3 linked regions of the Saccharomyces cerevisiae S288C genome follow. The protein of the gene in region 1 interacts with the protein of each later gene in a biochemical or structural test. Each region holds a gene or a part of one and is shown on either strand. Other genes may lie near its edges. The genes, in order: MCM6, SLD2 and IME2.

Region 1 (12,033 bases):
CAAAAGTGGAAAGATGGTCGAATCTTTGTACACTGGGTGAATAATAATCATCAGTCTTGGTACCCAACAAAATCGTCTGATGATGCGATTTCCAAACAAATACCCTCCAGAATCGATGTTTATTGATATCGCAGTCAGGGCAGGCGGTAGCGACTCGTGACCACTTTCCGGAGTTAATATCGTATATAAAACAATGAAAGTTAGAGGATTGGTAATTTGGATGAAACCCACCGATTATGATATTGAATCCAAAATAGTCACCTGTCGGTGCTAATAGCTCATACGGAACATTCAATAGTTTTTTCGGTAATGCCGGGTTTGAGGGCATTCTAATACCTTGCGATTCAGACAATAGCGGCAACGCCACTATAGGCGAATTCTCCTTTATCTTTGATGAATCCTTTCCGAGATATTCGTCTATTTGATCACTTCTCATATAGAATGCCAGCGCTGGAACGTTGGCCTCATTATTTTCAACTAAAATCGAAAAATTCTGATCCTTTGATAATGCTAATGGTATGCCATTGACATTTGTAGTGATTTCCATCGGTTGTTTGGGTATGGTTTCGGATTGCCAGCAATTCTGTGAGATGTTATAGATGTCTATTTTCTTGACCGGCTGATCCATGTTATTAAGACCTCCGACAATTATTAATTTCGTGTCTCTATTATCGTTATTTTCGTTCTTTACATGCATGGTATGGTTGAACCTTCTCGCTATTTGAGGGTCATCACTCAAAAGCGACCACTTCTTCGTGTTTAAATCCAGTTTCCACAACTCATTGGTAGCAATCAACTCATATCCGCTCTGAGGAGACACTGTGAGACCACCAAATATATATAAACAGCCATCTAAATAACATAAGGAATGGAATAGCCTCTCCTTGAGCGGAGATTCAAGGGATTTACCTTTCTTAATGTCCGTTCTAATCTCGTTTGTGTCATTATCTGCTTTGGCGCTAGAACTCTCTGCCTTTAATAATTCCTCTGTCCTTTGGTCAAAGGAGGTCTTGACTCTGTACCAGGTTCTAGACATCAAGTCTAAGAAAAACGTCTCCTTACTTATCCACTCGTTTAAATTCCTAAAAGAACTACCGTTGTTTTTTTCCTTTGCAAAAAAGAGAATAAGCTCCTTTTGTAATTGCATAGAATTTACAACTGGCAGGTTCAACGGGATGGTTAGACCACCATGTACAAATATATTAGACCTTGTTAGCGTCACCGCTGAACCTGTTCTATAGTCCAGCGTTAACCTTTTCCTGGCGCATTCATCAAACTCGTTGGAATCGGAAGTCAGTGGTAATGGCGGAAGCTTCAAAGGGTAGCAGAAGCAAGTGGATGGTTGTAATAAAGGCATACTACGCTAAAGCAGGTGCAGATTGTTACTTGTCCTTTGGTTTGCACGCGCGCTATGTTATCTTATATATATAGTAAAACAGAAAAGTCTCTAAAGCGCCTTCACCATGTAATGTTTGCAAGTGTGGCTATAGGCACAGGAAGGAGAAGAGTTCTCAAACAATTGTGGTAAACGGACGCTGTGAACTTGAAATAGACTTTGCCAGACTCTGCGCTACCAATTCATCAGAAAGCCTAATCTTGCTTTGAACTTCTCTTACACTCCACGGAGTCTGCCTTAGCCACACGCCAGCCCCTGTGAGCGTCCTCTTTTTTTTTTTTTTCAGAACTTTCTGCCGTGGCTCGCGAGATAGGCAATTCTATGTCCATGATATTGGGTTTTATACATATGTAACTAGTGTTATAAAATAGTTGACAACCAGGCCATGCCAAAAAGACAGAGTGCCAGAGGGTATATCTCGATAATGGTCTTGCTCTTGGTAACCCACGAAACGGCGGCCACAGACCACATCAGGCACAGCGCCATGACCACCAGTTTCACGAGCGACAGGACCCTCACAATCCAGCGATTTTGCTTTCCAATATGGTAGGCCAATGGAAGTAGTATCTGCGAGACTAAGGCATTCAGCACTTGTGGGAATAAGCAATACCCGGAAATGGAGATGTACGAAATCAGCGACACCCTCTGGTGTGGCTTGGTGAGTCTCAGATGCAATGCCATCACCAGCAAAATGAACCAACTAGACACAAATAGGCTCGAGAACAGCGACCGCGCATGCGATACAAATAGAGAATACAATATGATAAACGCAAGGGGCGCCCACAGGTCGCAATTGGCTGAAATGTCGTTATCAGCCGCCCCTATCCCGTCATCAGAGGGGCTAAAGAATGAGGGGAAATGCGGGTATACCACTTGTTTCAGTCTGGAATTAATCTCCACCACATCTCGCTTTAGTGTTTGCAGCACAGTCTCGTCGAGCGTCCCTCTGCTGCCTGAATTCTGCATAGTTCCGCCTATGTTGTCAGCAACACCCCCGGAAGCAGCCAAAGGTGCATCTGGTTCTATGAAGTCGGGCTCAATCGTAGTGTCTTCTCTTCCGTATGACATTTTGCCTGCCCTCTTGTGACATATCTTTCTACAAATATTGCTAAAACAGCTTCATTTGCTATTGTAAAAGGGGACGAAAAATCACTGTGAGAAAATCATCACTCCGGGTAATCCAATTTTCATGAAAAAAGACGCGAGGAAAGTCAGAAAAGTCGTGCAAAACAGCCTGAGAGATCGGGTCGCTTAAACATTTTGACACGAAACTTATAATGAAATAAAAAGCTATACTTGGTGAAACTGCAATCTTAATAGTATCCCTCCGCACAAAAATACACACGCATAAGGATGGCCTCATTTGCTACTAAGTTTGTCATTGCTTGCTTCCTGTTCTTCTCGGCGTCCGCCCATAATGTCCTTCTTCCAGCTTATGGCCGTAGATGCTTCTTCGAAGACTTGAGTAAGGGTGACGAGCTCTCCATTTCGTTCCAGTTCGGTGATAGAAACCCTCAATCCAGTAGCCAGCTGACTGGTGACTTTATCATCTACGGGCCGGAAAGACATGAAGTTTTGAAAACGGTTAGGGACACGTCGCACGGTGAAATCACATTGTCTGCTCCATACAAGGGACATTTCCAATACTGTTTCTTGAACGAGAACACCGGTATCGAGACAAAAGACGTGACTTTCAACATTCATGGGGTGGTATATGTGGATTTGGACGACCCAAACACCAATACATTGGATAGTGCTGTCAGAAAGTTGTCCAAATTAACCAGGGAAGTCAAGGACGAACAAAGTTATATTGTTATTAGAGAAAGGACGCATAGAAATACTGCAGAGTCGACCAACGATCGTGTTAAATGGTGGTCCATCTTCCAATTGGGCGTCGTTATTGCAAACTCTCTTTTCCAGATATACTACTTGAGAAGATTCTTTGAGGTCACATCTCTAGTCTAAGTAAAGCAGGAAAATGTAGTTCATATCTATTTACTTTTGCCTACATACGATTACATACACGATTGGATAACCTGAAGTCGCGAATAATTCTCGGTTTCATACTTTTTACCTTGATCCTTCCACTGTTTTTCCCTGTGCCAATTACATGTAAATAAATATATACATATATATGGTCCAGGCGCGCCATAAAACAAATACAGGTTGTAGCGAATCAAAAAATGGGAAATACATACGAAAAACTTGAAAGAAACAAGTACCACAGGACATGCTGTGGTCCGTTTTTCCCCAGAGCACTTTTATGTGGGACTCTTAGAAGGGAAATAGCTCTGTTCATATAGAACAAAAAAAGAATAGCCCTGTAGGGGGCTCGAACCCCTAACCTTATGATTAAGAGTCATACGCGCTACCGATTGCGCCAACAAGGCTAATTCGTTGGAAAACGTCCCCATTTCAGGGAAACATAGCTCACGATGTTAATAACTGATTTGTAGCCGAGCCACATTGTATCAACGCGTGATTAACACATGTTTGGAATATACTGTTGGAACAAGAATCAACTAGTGCTCATATTAGCAATATATTACTATATACGGTGTAAGAAGATGTCCACTATAGTCAGCCATATTCTTGATCTTACGAAAGGGAACTGTGATGTAAAATTTGTGACACTGTGACACCTTCTAGTGAAATATAGGGCATTACCAAAGTCACTAATGAGTAAAAATACCAATTACTGTCCGTAGTTCGTCAGATTAGAATCCACTATATTTTCTTTGATTGGGAGTTAACGCTGCATACTTGTCTTGGGTACTGCGTTAACCATAAATCACATAAGCGTCATTCATTATCGTACCTCTGGGTAAGTGTTTTTCAGGAGTTTTTATATATAATATGCTGGCCCCCAAGGCGGATGAGGACTGTATACGGTTTTGACGTTAAAGTGTTATATGAATCGCAGTCGCATACACTAGTGGACCCCTAGTTCCGCGATACGTAGTTGACCCTCAGTACAGAGATTCCCACGATTAACGGGTGTACTGCTCCTGACTAATGTAATTTTGAGTTCACCTGTTGATGTGGTGCTGATACTGGCACCAGTACTAATGTTTGGAAGAACTCCGTAGCATTAAGTGGAGAGATTAATCCGATACTGAGCTGAATAGTTGGTTTCACTCCCGCAAAAAGATATCAATACAGTTTGCTAACAACTTGGGAAACCCTGATGAGAAGAATTAGCGGTCATCCTGAGAAATAGGTGACCATTTAAATGGTCACTTGAATTCGATTTTCCAGTAAGGGAAGTGTCATTCGGAATCCAGAATATACCAGAAATAAGCAATTTTGCATGATAGTGCTGTTATCCTTTCTTGTGTTTTATACGATATCATACATCACCCCATTACGTTATTTATCTTGCATTTCAGTTTTTACTGGGTTTACCCTTTTCGCGATTTATATCATATTATCACCGCACATAATATACTAGTAACATTACTATTCGTCGACAAACAATAGCTTGTTTTGATTCCAGTTCTCATAACATTTGTGTACCTATTCTTTTGCCGTTCCTTCGCTATTTGGTATTGTCATCTAAGTTCGTCTATTAAATTTCCTTTTTAGGAAAAGCGCCTAATAGGCCTTTCTTGAAGCTTTTTTTTTTTCTTTCTTTAATCTACAATAATAACAAAATATTTCATTCTTAAGTGATTTACAGCGAGTATCTTACACTTCGCCACCGGTGGATAGGAAAAATAGACTTACCAAAGGTTAAAACTGGTTTTTTTCAATGTCATCCCCTTTTCCAGCTGACACACCAAGCAGTAATAGACCTTCCAACTCCTCTCCGCCACCATCGTCGATAGGTGCTGGCTTCGGAAGCAGTAGCGGACTCGATTCGCAAATAGGCTCTAGGTTACATTTCCCAAGTTCTTCTCAACCGCATGTCAGTAATTCACAAACAGGCCCTTTTGTTAACGATTCCACTCAGTTTAGTTCTCAAAGGTTGCAAACCGATGGTTCCGCGACTAATGATATGGAGGGAAATGAACCTGCCAGAAGCTTCAAAAGTAGAGCTTTGAATCACGTTAAGAAAGTTGATGACGTTACTGGTGAAAAAGTCCGTGAAGCGTTCGAGCAGTTTTTGGAAGACTTTTCCGTTCAATCCACTGATACTGGTGAAGTTGAAAAAGTTTATAGAGCTCAAATTGAATTTATGAAAATATATGACCTAAACACCATTTATATAGATTATCAGCATTTATCCATGAGAGAAAATGGTGCTCTAGCTATGGCTATCTCAGAACAATATTACAGATTTTTGCCTTTTTTACAAAAGGGTTTAAGAAGAGTAGTAAGAAAGTATGCACCTGAATTGTTAAACACAAGTGACTCATTGAAGAGATCCGAAGGTGACGAAGGTCAAGCGGATGAAGATGAGCAACAGGACGATGATATGAATGGGTCGAGTCTACCAAGAGATTCTGGATCATCAGCCGCACCAGGGAATGGGACATCTGCCATGGCAACGAGGTCAATAACAACTTCTACGTCACCTGAACAGACGGAACGTGTTTTTCAAATCAGTTTCTTCAATCTACCAACAGTTCACAGAATTCGTGATATAAGATCTGAAAAGATTGGTTCACTATTGAGTATATCAGGGACAGTGACAAGAACATCTGAGGTCCGTCCAGAATTATACAAGGCAAGCTTTACGTGTGATATGTGCCGTGCTATCGTAGATAACGTAGAACAGTCCTTCAAGTACACTGAACCGACATTTTGCCCGAACCCATCATGCGAAAATAGAGCCTTTTGGACATTAAATGTTACAAGATCCAGGTTTCTTGATTGGCAAAAAGTCAGAATTCAAGAAAATGCTAACGAAATACCTACAGGCTCCATGCCGCGTACGCTGGACGTCATTCTTCGAGGTGATAGTGTCGAAAGAGCCAAGCCAGGTGACCGTTGCAAATTTACGGGTGTGGAAATTGTAGTACCTGATGTTACACAATTGGGGCTACCAGGTGTGAAGCCAAGTTCAACATTAGATACTAGAGGTATTTCGAAGACTACTGAAGGTTTGAATAGTGGTGTTACTGGTTTACGCTCTCTTGGTGTTCGTGATTTGACATACAAGATTAGCTTTCTGGCATGCCATGTTATCAGTATTGGATCAAACATTGGTGCAAGTAGCCCTGATGCAAATTCTAACAACCGAGAAACTGAACTACAGATGGCTGCTAATTTACAAGCTAATAATGTATACCAAGATAATGAAAGAGATCAAGAAGTATTCTTGAACAGTTTGAGTTCAGATGAAATAAATGAGCTGAAGGAAATGGTAAAGGATGAACATATTTATGATAAATTGGTCAGATCTATTGCTCCAGCTGTGTTTGGCCATGAAGCCGTAAAGAAGGGTATCTTGCTTCAGATGCTCGGTGGTGTTCATAAGAGTACTGTAGAAGGTATTAAGTTAAGAGGAGATATCAACATCTGTGTTGTTGGTGATCCCTCTACTTCTAAGTCTCAATTTTTAAAATACGTAGTGGGATTTGCACCAAGATCAGTTTACACTTCCGGTAAGGCCTCGTCGGCTGCTGGTTTAACAGCTGCGGTTGTGAGAGATGAGGAAGGAGGTGATTATACAATTGAAGCAGGTGCTTTAATGCTTGCTGATAACGGTATTTGTTGTATCGATGAATTTGATAAAATGGATATTTCAGATCAAGTTGCCATTCATGAAGCTATGGAACAACAGACCATCTCTATTGCTAAAGCTGGTATTCACGCTACTTTAAATGCAAGAACATCAATTCTAGCGGCTGCCAACCCGGTAGGTGGAAGATACAATAGGAAACTATCACTGAGGGGTAATTTAAATATGACCGCACCGATCATGTCCAGATTTGATTTATTTTTTGTTATTCTTGATGACTGTAACGAAAAAATTGATACCGAATTGGCATCTCATATCGTTGACTTACACATGAAAAGAGACGAAGCCATTGAGCCGCCATTTAGTGCAGAACAACTACGTCGTTATATCAAATATGCACGTACTTTTAAACCAATATTAACGAAAGAAGCCCGTTCCTATTTAGTCGAGAAGTATAAGGAACTGAGAAAGGATGATGCCCAGGGATTTAGTAGATCGAGTTATAGAATCACAGTTAGGCAACTTGAAAGTATGATTAGATTATCAGAAGCTATTGCGAGGGCTAATTGTGTCGATGAAATTACTCCATCATTCATTGCAGAAGCTTACGATCTTTTAAGGCAAAGTATTATTCGTGTTGATGTGGATGATGTGGAAATGGATGAAGAATTTGATAACATAGAGAGTCAAAGTCACGCCGCTTCTGGAAACAATGATGACAATGATGATGGGACTGGGTCAGGTGTAATTACGAGTGAGCCACCAGCAGATATAGAAGAAGGACAAAGCGAAGCTACAGCTCGTCCAGGTACAAGCGAGAAGAAGAAAACAACGGTGACGTATGATAAATATGTGTCCATGATGAACATGATCGTTAGAAAGATTGCTGAAGTAGATAGGGAGGGTGCAGAAGAACTAACAGCTGTGGATATAGTTGATTGGTATTTATTACAGAAGGAAAATGATTTGGGTTCGTTAGCAGAATATTGGGAAGAGAGAAGATTAGCGTTCAAAGTCATAAAAAGGTTGGTCAAAGATAGGATTTTAATGGAGATTCATGGTACCAGACACAATTTAAGAGATCTTGAGAATGAGGAAAATGAAAATAATAAAACTGTTTATGTTATTCATCCAAACTGTGAGGTTTTGGATCAATTGGAACCACAGGATTCCAGCTAATTCAGTGCACTCTTGCGGATTTTCATATTTCGTTTCAAGTATCGTTCACGTTGTAAATTCCTATCGTGTGCATTTCTCTTTGTGGGAGAAAAATATCTTACATAACTTGGCTCTCAAATCAAGTTATAATTGTTGTATAAAGTTGTACTCTTAATGAAAAAACAAAATATTATATTTTGGCTTCCACTTGCAGTCTTTTACAAAAAGAAAAAATACTTCGAAATTTAAGCAATACAAAAATACGTACGTCCTTTTTTCACCTTATATATATTCTTCCAACGTATTTACCTCTCTATTTGGAAATACCAAATTCTTCGTATAAAGTATCACCTAATCTCTTCAGACCTTCAGTCAGTTTCTCAGGAGAGACAGCTGCATAGGTACCTCTGAAGAAAATTATGTTTGGATTACTGACTTCTTTAGATTCAGCGGGTTGAGGAGGTTCCGTCTCACCCTCACTCTTGAACCAAGAACCGGGAACCACTAAAACACCACGTTCAACCACTTTGTGGTAAAGACTCTGTTCTAGCTGGTAAGGGTCTGAGTTGTATTTTGTTTTAAACTCAGGGTGGACAGATGCGTCAATGTTCACGGTGAAAAACATACCTGCAATTGGAGGATTGATCACGAAAGCATCAGATTGTGGTAGATACTTGTAAAGGGCATCGATGGCACAGTCACGTTTCAAAGTGTATTCATGACGCAGGCCAAGCAACCAGTCCAAGTAACCCTTTTGACCCCACCTGGATAGCGTAGCGTTGACCAAAACTTGTGTAAAACCTGCTGGGGCTTGAATCGTCATTTCATGCAAACTCAAGTAAGGCTTCAAGATTTTGGATGAACCAGTAATCCAACCCAATCTTGTCCCTGGGGCCAAAACTTTTGAAAAGGAATCCATTCTAATAACACGGCCTTCTGTATCCAAGGAAAGGAAAGTGTTTGCCAAGGACTTCAAAAATTCGTCATGGTCCTGCTTTGGAGAACTTTGTGCCTTCTCTCTTTCCTTCAAGTCTTTGATGTAGGGATTCATTTGTAAGAAATAATAAGGTTCATCTTCCACAATTAGGAAGTCGTACTTTTGAGCGATCTTGTAAATTGCCTCCTTTCTATGGTCTGCAATGGAAGTACCAGTTGGATTTTGGCCCGTTGGAATAGTGTATAACAACTTTGGTTTAGGAGCACCAGGTGTCCAGTTTTCCATGACTTTAGCTAATTTTTCAGGAATGATACCATCAGCGTCAATTGGCACGGGGAAGGTAATGACACCTTGAGCCTCTGCAGAAGCCAATGAAGAGGAAAAAGAATGTGCCTCAACTAAGATGACATCACCTCGGTTACAAAAGACTCTTAAAGTAGATTCCCAGGCATTTGTGTTACCTGCAGTGGCTAAAACGTCCCAGTCCTTATACTTCAAATCGTGGATAATCTTGGTATGATCTCTAATGAAGTTTAATAGTTCAGGTTGACCAGCACTGAACCCGTATTGCAAAGCTCTTGACAAAGGAATATCGTTGGAAGGATTGGCACTTTTATCAGCGTAATCTTTGTTGACGGTGTATTTTATGCAATTCTGCTCGTCAATTGGAGCTCCAATACCCTGGGGAAAAGGAGGCTTGGGTGAATCTACAGATAGATTATCCCATGGGAAATAATCTTTTAATGGCAGGCCACCACCCAAAAAGATAATGTTAGGATCTTGGAAAAGATGGATGCAGGTTTTCAATGGGGATGGTTTACGAGCATTGGTTTCATCCGAAAACAAGTAAGAAAAGTCTTTTGATTCAGGTAAAGTCATGATAGTAACGATCGGTTGTCCTATTCAATGTCTGTATCAACTGCAGGGTTTAACTTAGTGGAATGGAAAAATAAGAAAAAGAAATAAGTTCTTAAAGATATAACCAAACCAAATATATAGTCTAGAGATGTGTATAGGAGGGTCTACAAGATAAGAAAAAAGATTGCGATACACATATCTTCAAATGAAATGCGCTTAATATTAGTCATAGATTGGACCTCGAGAAAGTGAAAAAGTGCAGAGTGAAAAATGTGATAAAAAAAGGAAAAAAAGACATCTAAGGTAACCCGGATGTTCTTCATTATTCCGGCGCAATTTAGTACTGTTCTTCTATCAATGGCAATTCAGAAGCCAGATTCTTGAATGAGGTGAAGGAGAACAATGGTTATAGGTTAATTAAGAGATTTTTGGATGGTGTATATGAGCCATGTTTAATCTTGGAAAAATAGTGAACCGGGAAAAAAATAAAGAAGAACTCCTCATAGGGGGCTCGAACCCCTGACATTTCGGTATCCTTGCTTAAGCAAATGCGCTTAAAAGCCGAACGCTCTACCAACTGAGCTAACAAGGATGAGTTCTTCGGATTTCTTCGATAATAGTTTTAGTTAAATATACATTATGTTCACATAATGCTATTATTTAATGCACATGTTAATGGACGGTAAACTACTTATCATTTATTGCAACAAATGAAAAGACACCACCCTAACAGCACGAAAAATGATGTTAATGTCTTGTATAGTATTGTCGGATAACTAACTCTCGTCTCAACAAAGCTTAAATAAGAGCTGAGAGATTGGTGAATTTTAAGATGATTGTAGGCATTTCATTGTTGATCAAGGCTACAATATTATGTATACAGAATATACTAAAAGTTCTCCTCGAGGGTAGAGGAATCCTCAAAGGGGAAGCGATATTTCTACATAATATTATTACGATTATTCCTCATTCCGTTTTATATGTTTCATTATCCTATTACATTATCAATCCTTGCACTTCAGCTTCCTCTAACTTCGATGACAGTTTCTCATACCTTATGTCATCGTCTAACACCGTATATGATAATATACTGGTAGTGTGACTACTAGTTTATAGACGATAGTTGATTTTTATTCCAACAGGATCATTTTGTTAGGTGAGGAATTGCGAGCTTTTTGGCTATAACTTTCAAGTTTTGTCACCAACATTTATATTTGCTTACTGCAGCCCGGAACCGAAAAACAATGTGGAAAAAGAAAAAAAAGTGGAATATTTTGATAATATAGGAAACATTAAGAAAAGCGATTTCTTATCATTGTCTTCAACTCCCATCTATTTGAAAAAGCTTGCTGAAGCATACTTTGGTTAAAGAGTACCTTGGCTATAGAATACCGTAGAGATAAAGACCTGAATAGATGTTTTACAATAGGTGGCTCGGAACGTGGCTAGCCATGTCTGCTTTAATAAGGATCTCAGTATCCCTTCCGTCATCTGAGGAGTACAAAGTGGCATATGAGCTGTTGCCAGGGTTATCTGAAGTGCCAGACCCTTCAAATATTCCACAGATGCATGCTGGCCATATTCCTTTACGTTCCGAAGATGCGGATGAACAGGATAGCTCTGACTTGGAGTACTTTTTTTGGAAGTTTACCAATAACGACTCTAATGGCAATGTCGACCGTCCCTTAATTATATGGTTAAATGGTGGACCCGGTTGCTCTTCCATGGATGGTGCCTTGGTCGAATCCGGCCCTTTTAGGGTGAATTCAGACGGTAAACTTTATCTAAATGAAGGGTCCTGGATATCCAAAGGCGATCTTTTATTTATCGACCAACCTACTGGTACTGGGTTTTCTGTCGAACAAAATAAAGACGAAGGTAAAATCGACAAAAACAAATTTGACGAAGACCTAGAAGATGTGACCAAGCATTTTATGGATTTTCTGGAGAACTATTTCAAGATTTTTCCAGAAGACCTCACTAGGAAAATCATACTATCGGGTGAAAGTTACGCTGGCCAATACATACCATTCTTTGCCAATGCAATTTTGAACCATA
Region 2 (10,218 bases), on another chromosome or scaffold:
ATAATATAGTATATCCAGCTTCTGACTCATCTTCATCCCCTCCATATCATAGCAAGAAGCCATCAAATCCTCCATCATCTGGCAACTTGGCTTCACACGAGGCGTCCAAGTGTTTTCCAAAAGCTCCTCAGGCGAGCACAACATCGAGACGATTGCCTGATCATGTCCCTCTATACATTGATAAAAATAATAGTGCACTCTACCCCAAAGAACCCCCCGCCAGGAAGTCTAGTTTTGAGAAGGAAAGACCTGCGAAGGATAACCTAGGATTTAGAAGCATGTCTTTGAGAGAGCCACTTATCACAAAGAATGCTACAGCCACAGCAGCAGAGAACCTGGATGTGGAAGAAAAGAAGGAAAAAGGAGGTCATGTCTCAAGAAAATCATGGACTTTTGGTTTGCCCTCTCCGCTGAAAAGGAGAACAAGTCATTCTACTCATACCACGAACGAAACAGAGATAGTTAATCCCATGACGAACTTCAAAAATAAGACCAACGAAAACGATATGCCAATATTAGCAAATAAAAAGAGCTGCAACAACGATGATTCTTCCCCTTACACTGCATCATCCATGAACACTAATGACGTAAGCGAAGCTGGTACAGAAGGCCACCGGTTTTCATTATTCGGAAATAAAAGCCAATTGTCAAATAGGAACATATCTGGTGGAACAGCCACTTTGGAGTCATCAAATCCTGACCTGCCTACAGCCTTACCATTAAGCGTTCCGGTGACTATCATTGATAAAAATGGAGAGATACACAAGCTTCATAACGATGATGCAGCTATAAAAGATAAGTCGCATGACCGTCACGGTCACAGTAAATTCGGTAGGAAACTGAAAAAAATTTTTGGCAGGAAATGATTTGAAAGAAGAAAACATAGGAAACCTAAAATGAAATGTAAGGATATGATGCACTGCCACCGTAATTAAAATAGTTGGCTAGCGCTAGCTTTCTTTTCATTTAAAATTTAATAACTAGTTCGATCACGAATTAATCCAATCTAGTTATCTGAAAAGTGTATATAGAGTAGATAAAAAAAAGGTTTATTAATTATTACAAAAAATTATTATATTCTATAAATTATTGTGTGGCAAAATGAGAAGGGAAAAGTAATAAAAAAATAAAGACAAAGGTGAACTGTAAGGTGAAAAAATTATGCGAGTTTGTCCATTTTCGAGACTGCTTCAAGAGATTCACATAAGTAATCAACGTTCGAATCATTGACTCCGCTAAGCGACAATCTACCATCACCTGTTAAATAGACGAAGTAATTGTTTCTCAATATTTCGACTTGCTTTGGACTAAACCTTGTATAGTAAAACATACCGTGCTGTTGTGCGAAATTTACAAGATCCGGCCACCCTAGACGGTCAAACATCTCCTGTCTGACGTGATGCAATCTCTGAACCATGAAATCAACATCCTTGAACCATTGCTGTTTCAATTTGAAATCTGATAATACTACATTTACCACACGAGAACCGTATCCTGGTGGAGAAGAATACATACCTCTGACAATCTTTTTTAATTGGGAGTCAATATTTTGCTGCAATGAGTTTTTCTGTTGTAGAGGGTTGAACTTTCCATTGTTCGCAGTTGCCGGCGTGATAACGCTTAAGGAACCAACTCGTTCACCATAAAGGCCCATGTTCTTGGCAAAAGATTGACAAAGAAAGATACCGTTACTCCAATTTGGATATTTATTTACATTGAGACATAGCCTCAATAAATATGCGTCCTTTAGTAAGTTACCAGACTCTAAACCCTGATAAGCCATATCAACAATGGGTACCATTTTTAGCTCATATATAGTATCTATAATCTTTTCCCATTGCTCTTTAGTTGGGTCGAGACCTGTAGGGTTGTGACAACACGCATGCAAGATTATGCAAGGTGGGTTCTTATTGTTTTCTTGCTGGTTGTTATATGCAAAGGTTTTCAATTGCTCAATCCATCCGTCGATGTCTATCTGACCGTCCTTATAATAGGAATACCGGTAAATATTTTCAAAACCATTGTTCTGAAAAATGTTCTTATGATTTGCCCATGATGGGTCAGGTATCCAAATATCTCTTGAAATAAATAATGCCAAGAATTTAGCTGCTACAGCTAGGGCGCCTGTACCACTCAAAGTCTGAACAAAGCTGATTCTATCATGGGCTAAATAAAATGGCCCAAACTGCGGACATGATTCCTTGAACAAAAATTTCATAACGTTTTCCTGAAATTCTTTGGAACCTGTTATTGGTAAATATGAAAGATTCTTATTCAACTCTAAATGAGATTCAATCAATTTTTGAGCTTTTGCAACGGAGGGAAACGTCGTCACTTTGCCCCAACCATCTTTATATATTCCTACGGTCAGGTCAATTTTGTTAACATTTTTTACCTTTTTGAAGTGTTCAGATAACCCCAAGACTTTATCTGGAGGTGCTCTTGGTACTCTACTAAGCGATGACGTGTAGTAGGGCCTCCATAGACTGCAATTAGTAAGCCTCGTCCTCAACATCAAGTCTTTCGGCAGTGAAAAACGGATAGTAATTTTCAAATGAGAAGGGAAAACGCACTCAATAGTATGCTATCGTTCAATCCGCTATCGTCTATTCTGTATTTTTTTTTTCTTTTCAATTGCGACGGTTAGCAATTAGATAACCAAGACAGAGAGAGCGAATACTTGCTAGCAATTTATATACGTAAGCGAAAAATGTAAAAAAAAATATGAAAAATGCGGCATCCTAAATATTGGAGCAAAGCAGAATAGTGCTTCCATACTCCAAGATGCCATTTCCGTCGATATTACATCTGACAATAGGAAGATATGCGAGCTATGACTCCAACAATCACATGAGACGGCGTGCAAAACTCATGGAAGCCATCTTCCGCATCCGAACAATATGAATCATCGACGATGGTCGCATGCAAACGCCCTTTAAAAAGTGAAATATTTAAATATAAACCAATTAGTTACAGCAAGTCATTCGTTACTGGAAGTGAAAGGACTTTGATTACGCAAGGCCTTTTCAACTAGAAGTTCCGAATTTTCCATAAACTTCTCAACAACATCTTTGGTCAAACCAGGCGAAGGTAAAATAGCATCGCCTTTGTTGCTGAACATTGTACCACTGCGTGATTCGATAGCGGGGCTCGCAATCAGGGTGCATATTGTTTTCGCATACGTCTCTGCGCTTTGACAGGTCCAGCTGATTATCCATTCTGTAATGCGGCTGAGGTAGGTGTCACTGCCAAGAAGATTATTACGAATGTTCGTTTTGATCAGCCCAGGGTTCAAACCGAAAGTATCTATATTCGTGTATCTGTCTTTAGCGTCTATGACCAGACTTTCATTGGCTGCCACAGTGTTCATATGTGTAGCGTAGGCACTATACTTCTTTTCATCAGAATTCAAGTCATCTGGGTCTCCCACCTGACCATTTCCTGGAAACCCTGCTATGAAAACTTTTGGCAAATCGTCTTTTTTTGTCCTACTAATTCCTAATCGCTTCGCCACATCATGGAAGATAATGTATCTACTCAAATAGCTCACTGCCATGTCTTTTTCCAAACCCTCACTTGTAGCTTGTCTCTGGCGTGATGCAAAAATACCCGTAGTGAAAATCAGATGTGTTAACTCCTCGTAGGGAATTTCATCACTATGAGATATACGCTTGCATTCTGACACTAAACTTAAATCAGCCTTGACAAAGTTAATTTTATCTTTTAGGTCCTCGTCCCTAAAAGTTTGCCCGACAACAGTAACCCTGGCATTTCTTTGGGCCAGCTCTCTACTTATTGCACGTCCAAGTCCACCTGTGCCACCAATTATGGCCACATTAAAACGACTAAAATCAATGTCATTGATATTTTTTCTTTCCCAACTGACGGTGGGATCCTTTTTCCAGAACATCCTGCTAAATGCGCCAATATACTATTATTAGTTTTTCCTTGATACGTGGTAATATTCTGTTTGTTGGTTCACCTTTTCATTCACTTGAATTGTTTTAAATTTTGTATTTATACCTCTGCCGATTATTCCTCCCCTAATTGATGATTGCAGATTATGTAATATATATACATATATGGACGAGGCCCCTAATTGAACAACAAAAATAAAAAGTGTAAAAACATGCTAGTCTCTATATTGATAAAAATACGTATGATGTCCATATAAACTATACGTCATGCAGCTGAAGGAATCTAACTGAATACTTAATAGGTTTCTATAAATTACAAATGTTTGTATTATTTACGCCATCACGCTCACCTTCTTCCCCATCGTCCATTAGAGAATCGGTTTTTCTTTGGCAGTTTTAGTCTTCTGAAGTTATTGCTCACTAGATTATACTTCTTTCTACCCTTTCGCTTAGCCGTAGGCTTTTGCTCTGAGCTTACAACGCCGCTGCTTGCCTCCGGATCATGTTCAAATTCAGTATCAGAGATTTGTGAGGTGGATCCCAAAAATTCTGCCACTTTCCTTCTTTTGAGTTTCACCAGCTCCTTATGGACATCTCTCTCAAAACCTGCGGTCTCGGTTTCTGGATCATTGTCTCGTAATCTTCTGATAACCTTTCTTCTTTTGGGTCTCTTTCTTATGAAGGTATCTTCCCTTGCTTGGCTATCATCATTATCATCATCCTCTTGAAATATGTCCTTCACAACTTTTGGTCTAATTAGTTCATCTTCTAGCCCAAAGTCGTCTTCGTGGTTTTTCTCATCGTAACCATTCTCGCCTTCTTCTCCTTCCTCTTCCTCTTCAATATCTTCTTCCTGTAAGACACCAAATTCTTTTACAATTTCAGTATGTTCCCTGGCCAATTCTATCAGGGATTTCGTCAGTGGTCTTCTAATGAGTGGAGACGGACTAAATGAAGTTGAAATATCCGCTTGATCCTTTGAGGGAGTCTTCTGTAAAGATGGATATGCTATTTGAAGCCGGCGTTTAGTGCTTGAATTAAGTGAGATGTTTAGGTGAATGTTTTCTTCATCCAATTTTAGCGGGGAATTAGGTCCATAATACCCCGATGGTTTGCCAGATTCTAGTGGAGGATTAATAGTTGGACTACATTTCTTGATTTCTACCAACTTCCCATTGCGATTCTTGCATGGTGATGAAGTCGGAGTACGTGTAGAAGAAGCGTTTAGCATTTGAAAGTTTAATTGGCGTTTCACACTGGATATTGGTTCCGCCACTAACGTACGATCTGCAGGCGACGATTTTAGGAGAATAGTTTTTCGTGGAGAAGATTCATTAGAAATTGTCTTGGAGTTATCATTGTTAACATCAATATTATTTGTGAATGTCATGTATATAGGCTTTATAGGCGACAAATTCATGTCAAAGATACTAATCGCCTTACCGTAAACTTGGGGAGTAGGGCCTATCTCTACGACTTCGTCGTGGTCTTTTTTATGTGCCGGGAGTTCAACCGACTCTTGAGTGTCAACTTTTTGTCGTTGCAAAGATTGTTTCTTCTTCAGTGTGGAATATTGTTTATACATCTGCCGAACAGTCCGCAGGCTCTTGATGTCATCCCTTGTGGGTTCCCTTTTATTTTTATCAATGAAATCATGCTCCCATGTTTTCAGCTCAATTTTCAATTTGTCCAGTTCAAATGAGTACATCGAACTACAGTTATCGCCTCACTAGATAGATTTCCCTGTCCTGTGGAGCCTGATGTAAATCAAAATTTGATTTTATCATTTTTCTCTTGACGTGTTTCACCATACGCGTAAACGTGATGTGATATACGGAAGATATGTAAAAAGGAAGCAAAAAAAAAAAAAATGAAAGTAAACGGATATGTGAAAATGCTCTTAGGTAATTTGAATATAGTGTATGTATGAGAATAAATAACTAAGTACCAGAAACGGTATATAAATAAAAAAAAAATAATGGCCTTCCAGACCCATATTTGTTTTTCATTTTAACTTTTTTTTTATGATAAAGAAAGAAAAAAAAAATCATTAACATCATTAAAAAACAATCAAAGTTTTGTTTTTTTACTTTTTTTTTTTGGAATTTTTGTTGTTGAAGGAAAAGGACGCCTAAGCAGGCGAAGAATACTATCATTACCCATAATAAGAATTTTTTATTGTATAATATCATTTTGTTTTCGTGATTTTTAGTTGTTTTCGTTTTATTGCAACATGCCTATTTCAAAATACTTGTACCTTTAAAAAATCGACATCTTCGTCAAGGTCGTCGATGAAACTGCTTTGATCAAGTTCATTGGTGGCAGTTGCATCATTGTTGTTATCGTTTAAGTCATAAAGGTTAGCGTTCGACTTCGACGTAGAAATTTTTTTGGATTTCAGAACTTTGGTGTAGTCGTCATCAGTACCGGCACTACCGTCAATACCGGTATCGTTGGAAAACATGAAATTTTTAAAAGATCTGCCATTGTTACAGTCCTGCTCTTCCATCAACTCTTCTAGAGTTGGGGGCAAATAAGAAAACTTATTGTCAGCCAAAGTGATTTCTGAACCTAACTCGTCATGGTGATGCGAATCAGCGCTTTCATCCTGATCCTGAAGAAACAGATAGGTTTCATCGTTCTTTGCTTGGATGTTCGCCTTCTCAGAATTAGTATTTTTTTTCAAAGCACGTGATGAATCTTCTTGTTGTGAACTTGAACTTGGTAAATAATTCCAAATGTCTTCTTCATCTGGCTCAACCTTATCATCTTGCCCTGAAGATACGGTTTCCTCCAAAATTGGCAGATTCAATAAAGACATATTATCGTCATTGTCCACTTGTTGGTAATTGCCACTGTTCTTACCTGTTGTATCGTCCATAGACTGTAAGTAAGAATTCCAGAGATCATTATTTTCGTTAACGTCGTTATTCGTGTTGACTTTGGCATACTTATTGAAAAACTCAAGTTTCTCGAAATCGTTAAAGAATTTAATCTCGTTCAAATCCTCAATTTTGTCCTTAACTTGCAAATTAGTAGGCAAGGAGTGGTTTCTAATCAACGAGACTGAATCTGCTGGAGAGAAATCTGCTGGAGAATCAGGGAATGAAGCCTTATGAGGGATCTTATGAAAATTTAGGTTCATGTTCAAATCTTTTGTCAACTGTGGGACCGGAGTGGCCGATGAAGATGTGGAAGATAAGGACAATAAATCAAAGTCGTTCAACTTTGATTTTTTCGTGGGTGGTGCGTGAACATTTGAAGAAGAATCTATATGATGGTTTTTTGTTAGCAGACTGTTGTGAGCAGCAATGGTTTCCACATCGGTGCAGCTTTCATCGTCCATGAATTCTGATTTTTTTCTATTTCTATAACTTGAAAAAGATGGAGATGAATAAGATGGAGATGAAATGGAGGAGGCAGAAGAATGAAACTTTTCATTTTCCAAGTCATCGAACTTCAAAAATGCGAGGTAATTCGAGTCGTTTATTAGCTTTTCATCGATTGTCTGGATATGTCTTGGTATTTTCCTCTTTTCTTTGGAAGCTTGTTTCCTATTCGAAATGATGTTATTATTATTATTATTATTACTACTGTTCCTGCTGTTAGGGCCAACATTTAAAATATTATTGGTGTTGTTGGCAGGTAGAGTGTTGTGAGAAGATGATCTTCTACCAGGTCTTGGTCTTGGGGGCAAAACCCAATGTTTTGAAGTTCTAACCACCAAGCTAGACTTCTTCTTCTTTTTACTGCCATCGTTTTCGAATTCCAGCGAACTATTGTTATGATGGTTGGTATTTGGGGCGATCGGTACAGGCGCCAATGGAATATTATTATGCTCATTTTTAAAATGGTTACTACGAGGGCGACTAGCGGAGGCCTGTAGTAGAAAAGTCTTTGCGGTCATGATTCTTTTTTTGTTTTTTTTTTGTACTAGAAAATGTAGGTAAAACAAATCAGCAACCCATTAAAATGCTCTTTGATGTACTAGGAGACCAATAAATATGTGTGGAAAAAAAATAAAACTGTGTTTTTTCTCTTCCTATGCGTTTGATAATGATCTGCTCAAATAAATAATGACCCTTTTTTATTTTTCTGGTTCCTTTATAGTAGTATTTTTATATTATTAAGTGTAAAGTGGACCTGTAGATAGCATATACGATATAAAACTGGGGTTTAGAGAGGTGAAGGAATTAATAAAGGTAAAAAAATTAAAAGGAAAAAGGAGATGGACCTAAACAACCACACGGGGTTAAGCAAGAAGAAATTGATATAGGAGATTAGTTAATAGCTTTACAATATATATAATTTATCTAAAAACGATCTCATACTCAATAAATTTTTTTAGAGTAGTCTCGGAAAGAAAATAGCAATCCATTTACTTTTAGAACAATCTGCAAAATCGATACATGACACTTGGAAGCAACTGTGAAAAGGCTACGGCCATTGCTTACCGCGTGCAAGATCCGTAACATAAGAAAACTTTAGTCCTTGATGAAAGAAAATTTTCGTTTTTTTTTTCAGGTTCAGCGGGCTTAACCTCGTTTGCCGCCTCGGCCCCGCTCCGTTGTGCTGGCCATCTGTGCGCGGCGGGCTTCCCCCCCGTCGCTACTTCCGGATTAAACTTTTAGACTTCGGACCCCTGCCCCGGGGGGTTTCTCTGAACGCCGGGGTAGTGGTCCAAAGCCCACGAAACGCGTGTTCCTCTCAGCGGCATTGGAGTGAATAAAGCCCGCAGGACAGCCTTTTTTTTCCGGGCTGCACGACCGAATCAACTTGTCGCTCTATTCCTCCGTTGTTCCCGATTTGTAGCTCGGGGCCGACTCGCTTTTTGGCCAAGAAAATTGAGGAAAGCCCGTATTGCGGAGAAGGTTCTTATGTATTTGCCGTGCGATCAACCTCCGGGGCCCGGGTTTCAAATTCCGGCAATCATCCATGCCTAGTTTTGGAAATTCTCAGCAGAGGTTATCCCGTAAGGTGAAAAAAAGACATAAACGGTTTTTGCCTACAGTTTCCGGCAAAATAGTGATCTCATAGTACATCACTACTGCGAAGTCACCGGCCCGTACAGAAAAAGTATATCTTTAAATAGCGGCCCTACCTCTGCTTCTACCTACTTCATATTCGAATTCTTTTCTCGCCTTCCGCAGTGTTTCGCAAATCTGGACCTACGCACTAAATCATTTATGATTGTTCTCTCTTTCACGTGATAAGGTTTGCATTCTATTCGTTACCCTATTAATTATTACTATTTTTTTCAGCATGAGTTTTATTTCGCACATAAAATGCATCTATTTCTGGATATTACTGTAGTTTTCTTTGCTTTTCGCCTACCGCGCGGCGAAAAGTCGTATCAATCAATATGTGCCACTGCTATCATCCCTTGATAGAGTACAACGTAAAAGAGGCATTGTAGCATATTCACCCCGCTTGATAACTAGATTTTTTAGGCAAGAGTTGCGCACAGCGTACTGTGCACTACGGTATACAGAATTACACAATTGATACTTATTCTCTCCTTCATTGTTGCTCTGTTTCCGTTGTTTAAACTTTATCCAAAAACTCTGTTTTCTGTTTATTGAACCCCTTGCTTTCGCAAGCAAGCCCGACATATACGAACAGAACTGGGGAGAGGGAGTCTTATGCTGTACAACTCATGTAACCCCCACTATCTCAGGAGTTATATTAAATCAAGGCACGCCAGTGCTGCCTCTCTTGGTACGACAAACAAGTTTTTCCCGATTCTAGGTATTGCATTACATAATATCAACCCTTTGTTGTTTTCTTTTGATTTTTGAAAAGAAATATCTCATACCAACCGGAAAGGAAAAAGGACACAATTTGGGAAAATAGGCAATTTATTATGTACACAAGTCATAACCAAGAAAAAAGTAAGGGTAAAACAAGCAATTACTGAACTTGTTTCATGAGACTCATATCCAGAAGCATATTTATATAAGGAAATATTAGTTGCAAATCATTATGTCATTCCTTTCGCACACCCGATATGCTAAAAACAGCATACATGCACACTGCGCTTGGCTTGGACATATTCTCTCTGCATATGATGGAAAAAAAATCTTTTTTTTTCTTTTTCTTTGACTTTTTGCCGTTTTGTCATCGTCATCGCGATGGAAAAAGAAATGAAGAATACTTGATGAACAGGTGAAACTTGAACAATAACGTATCAGAATGAGGGTAAAGGGACCTTGTAAAACTTTTGAAAAAACTAAACAGGCAATTTAGTAAGAAGATGCCACTGGTGCTTTTTACGGGATACCCATGTAGTGGTAAGACAACG
Region 3 (11,138 bases), on another chromosome or scaffold:
CACAATTTGTTAAAATAGTCTTTATTGACCCCATCAACCAGAACTTGTCGGGATCCGGTAGGGAATCCAAATCTTTAGATGCATTTATTATCTCCCAAATAGGATTTCTCAAATCCCATTGCCATTCTACGCTTATCTCTTCTCCCTTACGAATATCTCTTATAGCCCTTAAAACAAATTTAACTCTACAATCATTATCTCCTCTTGGTTTTTCGTCAAGCGGTCTTACCGTTACTAGTTCCACATTGGGCTCACAACTCCGTCTTATGTATCTTGTTAATCCGCCTGTTTCTCGAGAGTCTATATATAAAGGCCAATGTGGATGAAAAAGTACTTTAGGTTTTGTCGTTCCCATCAAACGATAGTCATTATTTGGATCTGTCTGATAATTTTTTTGAAAATCAATTTTGCCCAAATATTCTTGAATTAGCTCACCTTTAACACAAGAATCTGCAGCGAAGACTCCAAAATCTCTTTCATTTGATGATTTTCTTACCTCGATGTCAGCTGACCTTGAGCTTTCCCAGTTAGAACAAACAACCCAATCGTCATCATAATGGTTATCAATAAACATCTTAACATATTTGTCCTTATACTCTGATATTGTTATTGCTTTGAATTCCGTGTCATTGGAAGAACTTACCTCATTCAGTAGTGGCTTCAGAAAGTGGCTTGATACTACCAGTTTTTCTTGCCTCAATTTTTTCCGTATACTATTGCTATTTTCAGTTGTTGGGGCGGTATAATGAAGTTGACGTTTCTTGGGCTGTTCCTCTATGTTATTCACAGACTGTTGATGCTGATTTGTGTTCGATGCTGAAGTTGTCACTATGGATGAAAATTGAAATAATCGCTCATCTCCCATTTTTCTAGGGAATATCATTGGTTTTACTTGATTAACCTGCACTTTCGTATCACTGTCACATCTTTTGCAAACAAAATCTCTTTTTATTGGATCTGATTTTTTGAAAGCATAACATAACTTGTGCTGCCACGTTTTACATTTGTTACACTGTATAAACAACTCATCCTTGGAGTCACTTGAACCGCAGATGCAACCATTTTTAGGTTTGTTATCTTCTGCTCTCATGGAGGGTGTAATTTTATTTTCTTTCGATGATTCATTGTGTGTTACCGAGACCTTGGAATTATCATCTTGATTCTGTTTTTTCAGTGGAAATGGTATGGTGGCAGCAGTTGCCAATGCTACTGCTGCTGCTATTCCTCTTTTATTTGTTGATGCCGTTTTTGATGAGCCTGATGAAGAATGATGGTTGAAAATGCCCCTGTCATTTTGAAATAAATGTAAAGGCGTTGGGCCAGCTGTAGGCATTGTATTGAATGTCCTTATCGGCATATACTGAGGTGAGGGTAATGTCTCTGAAGCTGCACTGCTGACGGACAAGGGTGTGTGATCGCCGTAATCTTTAGACATTGAACTATTAGATGAGTACGACGACGACCGCGATATGACCTTGTCTGTGGTTGTGTATGTCCTTCCTTGCCTGATATGACGAGAAGATAGTGATTCCGGTGAAGTCATTTTGAAGATGAAGCGGTATTTGTAACTTTCTGACGAGGGTACCAATCTTATTCCGGCGTTCCACGCTGAAATTATCTATGCTTTTGTCTTAAAGAGAAGCAAACAAGTAATTTGAATCAGATATATTTCCCTCCTTTCCTTTTCAATAAAAAGTGATGAGATGGCCTATTGATATCAAGCTATGAATAGGGTAGCCACCTTTTATACAAAGTTTCTTAGATGTGTATAGCCGTGCAATACCAAAATCGAGGTTCCTTATATACTTCCTAGTACTATCCAAGAACAATAATAAGGTTTCCTGAAGGAAAAAGAGGTGGTTATTGATCACCAGAAAGTTTGGCATTAAAAACAAACGACAGCACAAAGGAACTTTCACCCTACAGCACCTTCTGTGTGCATGATTACATGTACCCGAGTAGCGAAAAAAGCCAGAAAATGTGCAAGAATAAAGGTATCTCAATGAACGAGCTCGAGCGTCAAGAGACGGGTATAAGCGAAGAAGCGCAATGCCGCCAGCCAAGCAAAGCCAAACGAAGAGATCGACCTTCCATGGGGTCGCAACTTTTCCCGGTGACCTCTACATGTGTGATTGTTAGTTCAGCGTAACAGAGTTTCAACAACATGCATATACGAGTGTGCCTTCGTGCCTGATTTTGGTTGATTATCCGGCTTCCAACCTCGTTAAATTTTCATAAAGTGCATATCGTGTAATGTAAAAAGTAAAAAGATAAAAAAGACTCATATGAAATCTTGCTGCATGGAGACAAGTGCACTCGAATTCTTTACTTATATTTTCGCTCTTGAGCTCGTCCTTTTACTAGCATATCAATATCCGTTTCATTGAAAAGTGGCCTTAGAAACGCGGACACATTAGTCTCGTATGTCGGCTCTCGCCTACTTCTTGCCTATTGTTTCAGTGCCTTTAAACCTTATTTCCCTTCCCTCGCGTGCCATTCGGCGATCTCGATTTTCCGCAAGGGGCCTCAAACGACCGACATCAAAAACCAAAACAAAGGCCAAGCACATCGTTTAGAGAAGAAATTTTGGGGGTAATATGTTTTAACGATGCCATATATGCACCAACTTCTAGGGGAAAGAATGCTTTTGACTATCTCTCCTTCCTTGCATATAGGCCAGATTTTTCCTTGGATTGTGCTGTATTACTATTGGCTCCAAGGAACCTCACAGTGAGCTTTTCCAAACCGAAAGATTTCTCTTGCGATTTCTTCGTATGCAGTAATAGGGTTTTTTGAGAATATACCGGGCATAATGTTGCAGTTATCAACTATCGCACATACAGTAGTAACAGTTCTGGTTGTCCTAGCATTAATGCCGTTTTAATTTTCTGCAGAGTATTGCCTGTGGACAACAGTAACTTATACGAATAAACATACCAAGTTAGGATCTGAGCCGGGTAACCGAACACAAAGATCTCGTTCTACTTTTTTTGACCTCTTGATGAGTTGCTTAACAAAATCAGTAGCCGCCAAGAGCAAGAAATCATAAAATGTTCAAGAAAAACAAACATAAAAATATATTGGAGGGGAATAAACGCAAAGTAATGTCTAATAAGTTAAATTAAAGCCATCGAAAAAGCACTGTATTAATAGAGCAGTAGCTATTTAGGTGAATGCATAGTAATATAATATATATGCGAACATATGTATGTCTATGTGTATATAACTATATAACTGTGCCTAACGATTCGTCAGTCAAATGACAAATTATTAGAAGGTTACATTTCCAAAATGTTGGTTTGAATTGGATAGATGAGGCTCGAACTTTTCCCGTGATTTTTTTAATGTAGGTATCAAGAAATTTCTTGGAGTAAAATCTGGCATTGAATTAAACGAATCGCCTAAAGAGGCATCACCCAAAACATTATCACCTCTATGATGTGACCTATCTGTATGTGTGTAATTTGAGTTGTTCACATATGGTAGAACGATGTCTTCATCAATATCTGCATGTTCATTAAATGGTTGTTTTCTCTGAAACTCATCCTTTTCAGGAATTTCCAGGTCAAAAAATAGCTGTTCCATGTTGTCTGCTTCATCTTTATTTATAATTTCAATATCATTTGTCAACTGCCTAATATTCGATAATGAATGATCTAAGACTTCTTCATCTGGTAGTTGACAAAGGGCCAAATTATTACGAATTTCTTTTGATAATTCAGTCTCATCAATAGAATCTGAAATGGTAGAATCTGTTCCAACATCAGGTATTGAGTGATCATCATTATCTTCTTCAACGAATTCGTTTAAAAATTCTACCAAAGTTAGTTTTTCTTGATTTAATGTTGGTGAGCACATAGCATGAGAATCGTGATCGTTGTTGCTGATATCAATATCATTAGACTCTGTTTCTGCGGGCAATTTTGTTGAAGAGTTAAAATATATGGGCTTTGTGTTGGTCGCTACTGGATTTATACCTGCAAAAATCAATGCTTGTTCTGTATTAGTCACATTGCCTCTTGCGTCTACTTGGGATGCCACGGTGTTTTCAAAAAATGGCATTTCACAAAGCTCTTGGGCTGTTGCCCTTTCATTAGGATCCCATCTTAAACACTTTTTGACAACCTCAGATAAATCGGATAGTTGGGAGCTAGAAAGTAGATGATCCAACGATGAACCTTCTACATAAGGCAATTTCAAGTTTAATTTATGGACCAAATTACTGGCATCATCCCAAAATCCACCAGGTGGTGGAGCTGTGATGTGGTTTGTATTAACAAAATCAGAACGTTTGATAGGTGTACCAAGAACTTCTAAAATTTTCCATATCTGATCGATTTCGTTAGCACCGGGGAAGAGAGCTCTGAATACAGTAACTTCCACCGCCACGCACCCGAATGCCCAAATATCCAAAGGTTTGGAATAGTAACCACTTCTTAATAATATTTCAGGCGATCTATACCATCTTGTGGAAACGTAGGCCGTATACGGGTTTTTATTTTCAACATGGCGTGCCAAACCAAAATCTGCAAGTTTAATGACATAGTTATCTTGATATCCAATCTGGTTCATGTACTCCTTTTCAAAATACTGGGTACTTGGTGTGATAAGAATATTTTCAGGTTTTAAATCTCTGTGGAAGAAATTATGTTCGTGGATGTGTTTTAACCCAGCCAGTATCTGCGATAGAATAGATTTCAAAGAAGGAATCGAAAAAACTCGGCGCCTTCTATGTTTCATCATTTGATATAGGTTTTGCTCCATACATTCCATTACGATATGTAATTGGTAATTTTCAGAGTCAATAAAGACCTCAAAAATTTGTATCAGATGGTCATTCGCTGGGATTGCCAGTATGAACTTAATTTCTCTGACCCTCGTATAATCCTGGAGTGTATGCAGTTTTGTCATCATTGTCTTTATAGCCACTACACCTTGTGTCTTTGTTATATAGTTTTGGTGACCATTTTTAGGCTGATCCATTAAAGTACCCCTTATATCATGTTGTTTACCCAATATGTTCGATAAAGGAAATTGCGCTTTGGCTAAAGTTACACAACCAAATGATCCTGCACCTAGTTTTTCGATCAGCTGATATCTGTCTGATAAAGTCTTCAAAGGGATAGAAAGTGGCGGGTTATCGACATCAGGTGGAACACTGAACTCTGAGCCACTACTGGAACTCTGTCTACTACGTTTTTCAACCATAAATGACCTATTAAGTTAAGCTTAGTACTCTTCTTTTATTACGTCTGTATCACGTTCCTTTTCAATGAATATTTAAGAACACGATTAACTTTTCTGATAAGCCTGGTAAATAAATACAGGTTTATATTCTCTAGACAGCCACCTTAACCGACTGGAGTGTCCTTTATATCTTTACCCAAAAAATAAAACTTTTAGGAGAAGGGGTAACAAACTGAAAAGGGAAAGGGTAAAGTAAAGGTAACTGTAAACTATTTTGAAAGATAGATCTTGTAACTTCTTTCTCGTTGAGTGATATTGGAAAATAAAAATGAAATGAATGTGTGAAGACAGAAGAAGTTATTCAGGAAAAGAAAATGGACAGACCGGTGAGTTGCTACCTTAATATATCTATTTGATTACACACATTACTTCTTTACCTCTTTGCAACCAGCACTTGTCTGTGGCTTTTTGCCGCCGAAGTCTCGCGCCTTTTCCCTGTTGAATTGCATTTAAGACACAAGGCTGACATTTATTAATGATAGAGATTTCCACAAAAACTCAAATAGCCGCCGTAACATAAATTATTGGACAACCGGAGAAAAGGATATTTTAAGGCACCAGCGGGTAATACATCTTTATTTCTCCAAGTTTAAAAAGCGTATTTGGAAAAGCTGTGCCACTCAGATTTTTGTGAGAGTTTTCTTTTTCTACTTACCATGAGTGCGGAGTCTTGGTGAAACAGCTACTGAGAGAATAGGTATCTGGGTTACCAGTGTAGTTAGCTACAACATGTTCGAAATGCATGGTAGAGTCTGGGTTTCGTTCCCTTTGGCTTGTTAAGGCCGAAGATTGCTTTGGTCTGGATGGGCGGAGCCCAAATTTTATTGTTGAACTATTTTTAGATTAAGAAAAACAGCGCCAAATTTTACCCGGCTTATGGCTCCTCCCTTGGTACTCCCATTTTTATGACGTAGCAGTTGTCCCGCTTGTTTCAACTCCTCGAGAAAAGTGGGGCATTGGGTTTATCTGTCACAGTACCACCAGCACGCCGAATGGACCCTCTTTGTCTTAGCCCGACGTCTCCGTAATCAGCGCGCCATTCGTGTTTCTAGTGTCCTTTGACTATTTTCATCCGAAAAATATCGAAGCAAAGCCATCGCCAAAAATTGCGAACCCAATATGACGAAATTCGGAAGAATCTTGAAAAAGAAATAAACCGAATTGCATATTAATATATAACTATGTTTTACGTTTGTTTTAAGCCTACTATATCTGAGAACGTAGCTAAATAAATCTTATATAACACTTACTTACTTACTTAGCGGTGTGCGACTTTTATCTTTTAGATATAGAATAACAAAAGAAAAAAGATCGAATAACCGATAGGCTATACAATGGACGGTAGAAATGAAAAACCAACCACTCCTGTGTCAGATTTTCGGGTGGGAAGCTCCGAGCAAAGTCAAGCGGGAGTGAATCTTGAAGATAGTAGTGACCATCGCACTTCCAATTCAGCCGAGAGCAAAAAAGGCAATTTAAGTGGTAAAAGCATCAGTGATCTAGGTATTTCTAATAATGATAACAAAAATGTAAGATTCACTGCTGATACGGATGCTCTAGAAAATGATTTGTCTTCAAGATCTACAGAAACCAGCGATAATTCTAAGGGCACAGATGGACAAGATGAAGAAGATAGGCCTGCTCGCCACAAGAGGAAGCCTAAAGTTTCTTTCACACATTTAAGGAACAATGGTAAGGATGGAGACGATGAGACGTTCATCAAGAAGATAATAAATAACCTGACTGGAAATCAAGGGGGTTTGGTCCCTGGCTTGGCACCAATACCTTCAGAAAATGAAAATGGGAAGAATGATATAGAAAAAAATAACCGTAATGAAGAAATTCCCTTATCCGATCTAGCTGATGCGTCTAAAATCGTAGACGTTCATGAGGGCGACGATAAAGAAAAACTGGAGGCTCTCAAATTAGAAGGTGACGTAAATTGTACGTCGGATGGCGAAACGTTAGGCTCAAGTTCAAAAAATTCATTTCTGGCTCCTGCAGTGGATCATTTTGATGATTATGCAGAAAACAATTCATCCGACGATAACGAAGGGTTTATTGAAACCTCCACATACGTACCCCCTCCATCTCAAGTGAAAAGTGGAGTACTAGGGTCATTATTGAAACTTTACCAAAATGAAGATCAAAATTCAAGCTCAATCTTTTCAGATTCACAAGCTGTAACAACAGATGATGAAGGTATTTCTTCTACTGCTGGAAACAAAGACGTACCAGTTGCCAAGCGTAGCAGATTACAAAATTTAAAAGGCAAGGCTAAAAAAGGCAGAATGCCTAGACTGAAGAAAAGACTAAAAACTGAAGCGAAAATTACGGTTCACATTGCAGACATTTTACAAAGACACCGGTTCATCCTACGCATGTGTAGAGCTCTTATGATGTATGGTGCTCCGACGCATAGGCTTGAAGAATATATGGTTATGACTTCTAGAGTCCTTGAAATAGATGGTCAGTTTTGTATCTTCCAGGTTGTATGATTGTTTCATTTGGTGATGCAACAACAAGAACTTCCGAAGTTCAATTGGTTAGGTGTACTCAAGGTCTAAACCTTTGGAAGCTGCATCAAGTTCATGCCGTTTACAAAAGAGTTGTCCATGATACCTTAGGTGCCGATGAAGGTAATGCTTTACTCGATCAAATTTTGGCTGACACGAATCTATATCCACCTTGGATGTGTGTTCTTTTATATGCATTTTGTTCCGCTATGGTCACTCCGTATGCCTTTGGTGGCGATTGGGTAAACCTGGCAATCTCATTTTTTATGGGGCTTTGTGTGGGGTCATTACAATTTATTCTTTCACAAAAGTCATACATGTATTCAAACGTCTTCGAAATTTCTGCATCTATTGTCGTTAGCTTCTGCGGTAGAGCTTTTGGCTCTATCCCTCGTTCTCACATCTGCTTTGGTGCAGTTACACAAGGCTCATTGGCATTAATCCTGCCAGGTTATATTATTCTGTGTGGTGCACTAGAACTGCAAAGTCGAAGCCTAGTTGCTGGCGCGGTCCGTATGTTCTACGCCATTATTTATTCTTTGTTTTTGGGTTTTGGCATAACATTGGGCTCAGCTTTGTTTGGATGGATGTATCACAATGCCACTAACGAAATTTCATGTCCTCAATTAATTTCTCCGTGGTTCAGGTTCCTCTTCGTTCCAGCGTTTACCATTAGTATCTCGTTATTAAATCAAGCACACATCTCACAACTGCCAGTTATGGTCTTCATTTCTTGCACCGGTTATGTCGTAACATATTGGGCCGGTAAGCATTTTGCGAATTCGACAGAGTTTACTGCCGCCTTAGCTGCATTTGTCATAGGTGTTTTAGGTAATCTATATTCCAGAATTTGGAAAGGTTTAGCGGTATCAGCTATGCTTCCCGCAATCTTCGTTCAAGTGCCATCTGGTATTGCTTCACAAAATTCGTTGTTGTCTGGGTTGCAAAGTGCAAATACAATTGTTAATGCTAATGAAACCATTACGACAAGCACCTCCGATCCATCGTCCTCAATGTCATTTGGTATGACAATGATTCAAGTTTGTGTCGGTATTTCTGTGGGACTATTTGCTTCTTCACTCTTTGTCTACCCCTTTGGTAAAAAGAAAACTGGTCTTTTCAGTTTATAAGCTCTCACAAGGTCCACTTCGTTAGAAACTTGTTAACCAATGGACCAAGTGTTGCCATTGGGTCATTCTTCAGTATCAAAGAAGACTTTGACCCACTAAGAAAAATTTCAAAAGTAAATTATAAATATAGCATTAAGTACAAATAACATATCAGCTTATGAATCCTTTTTTTCAATTTTATGGTTTCATAGCCAATAATCATAACATACATAGATTAATAATATTCAAGTCACATGACTTTTTTTTTTTTCTTTTTTCTTTCTGCGTTAAGCAAAGAAAAAAATTTTCAGTTAGCGATGAGCTAGATATTTTCGAAGGTGTAACAAATACTTTCTTTATTACCTTTCAGAATCAGACTTATCTAACTGGCCACCAAAGTACGAATAACTTTGAAAATGTCTTCGTTGAGTGACCAATTAGCTCAAGTTGCTTCCAACAATGCTACTGTTGCGTTGGATAGAAAGAGAAGACAAAAACTTCATTCTGCTTCTTTGATTTATAACTCAAAGACGGCTGCAACACAAGATTACGATTTCATTTTTGAAAACGCTAGTAAGGCTCTTGAAGAATTGAGCCAAATTGAGCCAAAATTTGCCATTTTCTCAAGAACACTCTTTTCAGAGTCTTCCATTTCTCTTGATAGAAATGTCCAAACAAAAGAAGAAATTAAAGATTTGGATAATGCTATCAATGCTTACTTGCTATTGGCTTCTTCTAAATGGTATTTAGCACCTACACTACATGCAACAGAATGGTTGGTTCGTCGTTTTCAAATACATGTTAAAAACACAGAGATGCTGCTTTTGTCCACTCTCAACTACTACCAAACACCTGTCTTTAAGAGAATTCTCAGCATTATTAAGTTGCCCCCTTTGTTTAATTGTTTGTCGAATTTTGTTAGAAGTGAAAAGCCCCCAACGGCGCTAACCATGATAAAGCTCTTTAATGACATGGATTTTCTGAAACTTTATACCAGTTATTTGGATCAATGTATTAAGCATAATGCAACGTATACTAACCAGCTTTTATTTACAACATGCTGCTTTATTAACGTTGTTGCTTTCAATTCAAACAACGATGAAAAACTGAATCAGCTTGTTCCAATCTTACTTGAAATATCTGCTAAACTTTTAGCCTCTAAATCAAAGGATTGTCAAATAGCTGCACATACCATATTAGTTGTATTTGCTACAGCTTTGCCTTTAAAGAAAACAATTATCTTAGCTGCCATGGAAACCATTCTTTCAAACTTAGATGCTAAAGAGGCAAAACATTCAGCACTCCTCACGATTTGTAAGCTGTTCCAAACATTAAAAGGACAAGGTAACGTAGATCAGCTACCTTCCAAAATTTTCAAGTTATTTGATAGCAAGTTCGACACTGTGTCTATACTAACCTTCTTAGATAAGGAAGACAAACCAGTTTGTGATAAATTCATTACTTCCTATACAAGATCCATAGCAAGGTATGATCGGTCCAAATTGAACATTATTCTTAGCCTACTAAAAAAAATAAGACTAGAAAGATACGAAGTTAGGTTGATAATCACTGATTTGATTTACCTTTCCGAAATTTTAGAGGACAAGTCACAATTAGTAGAACTATTCGAATATTTTATCTCCATAAATGAAGATTTGGTGTTAAAATGTTTGAAATCATTGGGACTGACAGGCGAACTCTTCGAAATCAGGCTTACTACATCTTTGTTCACTAATGCCGATGTTAACACCGACATTGTAAAGCAGTTAAGCGACCCCGTGGAAACTACTAAAAAGGATACCGCTTCATTTCAAACATTCTTGGATAAGCATTCAGAATTGATAAACACAACGAATGTGTCCATGCTAACAGAAACTGGAGAAAGATACAAAAAGGTTTTATCTTTATTCACTGAAGCTATTGGTAAAGGCTATAAAGCAAGTTCCTTCTTGACTTCATTTTTCACTACTTTAGAATCAAGAATAACGTTTTTGTTAAGAGTAACTATATCTCCAGCCGCTCCAACCGCGCTAAAGCTAATATCTTTAAACAATATTGCAAAATATATTAATAGTATTGAAAAGGAAGTTAATATTTTTACTTTAGTTCCATGCTTGATTTGCGCTTTGCGAGATGCTTCTATAAAAGTTAGGACTGGCGTGAAGAAGATTCTTTCCTTGATTGCTAAAAGACCATCCACTAAGCACTACTTTTTGTCTGATAAACTTTACGGAGAGAACGTTACCATTCCTATGTTAAATCCCAA

What was found.
Region 2: the proteins of MCM6 (region 1) and SLD2 form a complex in vitro, tested with the Saccharomyces cerevisiae proteins (one study listed by BioGRID).
Region 3: of the proteins of MCM6 (region 1) and IME2, one has a biochemical effect on the other in vitro, tested with the Saccharomyces cerevisiae proteins (one study listed by BioGRID).

Annotation. Positions count from the first base shown.
Region 1 is NC_001139.9:114,022-126,054, reverse strand, and holds MCM6 (MCM DNA helicase complex subunit MCM6), read left to right. Parts: upstream 1-5,147; coding exon 5,148-8,201; downstream 8,202-12,033. Other genes in the region: MDS3 (Mds3p), read right to left, coding at 1-1,357; YIP4 (Yip4p), read right to left, coding at 1,757-2,464; EMP24 (Emp24p), read left to right, coding at 2,750-3,361; ARO8 (bifunctional 2-aminoadipate transaminase/aromatic-amino-acid:2-oxoglutarate transaminase), read right to left, coding at 8,494-9,996; KEX1 (serine-type carboxypeptidase), read left to right, coding at 11,391-12,033. UniProt on the Saccharomyces cerevisiae protein: Acts as a component of the MCM2-7 complex (MCM complex) which is the putative replicative helicase essential for 'once per cell cycle' DNA replication initiation and elongation in eukaryotic cells.
Region 2 is NC_001143.9:229,833-240,050, reverse strand, and holds SLD2 (Sld2p), read right to left. Parts: upstream 5,626-10,218; coding exon 4,264-5,625; downstream 1-4,263. Other genes in the region: SEG2 (Seg2p), read left to right, coding at 1-866; aspartate transaminase AAT1, read right to left, coding at 1,160-2,515; YKL106C-A (uncharacterized protein), read left to right, coding at 2,785-2,904; YKL107W (putative short-chain dehydrogenase/reductase), read right to left, coding at 2,981-3,910; transcription factor HAP4, read right to left, coding at 6,160-7,824; KTI12 (Kti12p), read left to right, coding at 10,171-10,218. UniProt on the Saccharomyces cerevisiae protein: Has a role in the initiation of DNA replication. Required at S-phase checkpoint. Also required for the proper activation of RAD53 in response to DNA damage and replication blocks.
Region 3 is NC_001142.9:215,460-226,597, reverse strand, and holds IME2 (protein kinase IME2), read right to left. Parts: upstream 5,209-11,138; coding exon 3,271-5,208; downstream 1-3,270. Other genes in the region: SET4 (Set4p), read right to left, coding at 1-1,543; YJL107C (uncharacterized protein), read left to right, coding at 6,582-7,745; pheromone-regulated protein PRM10, read left to right, coding at 7,742-8,893; snoRNA-binding rRNA-processing protein UTP10, read left to right, coding at 9,289-11,138. UniProt on the Saccharomyces cerevisiae protein: Protein kinase which is essential for the initiation of meiosis and sporulation.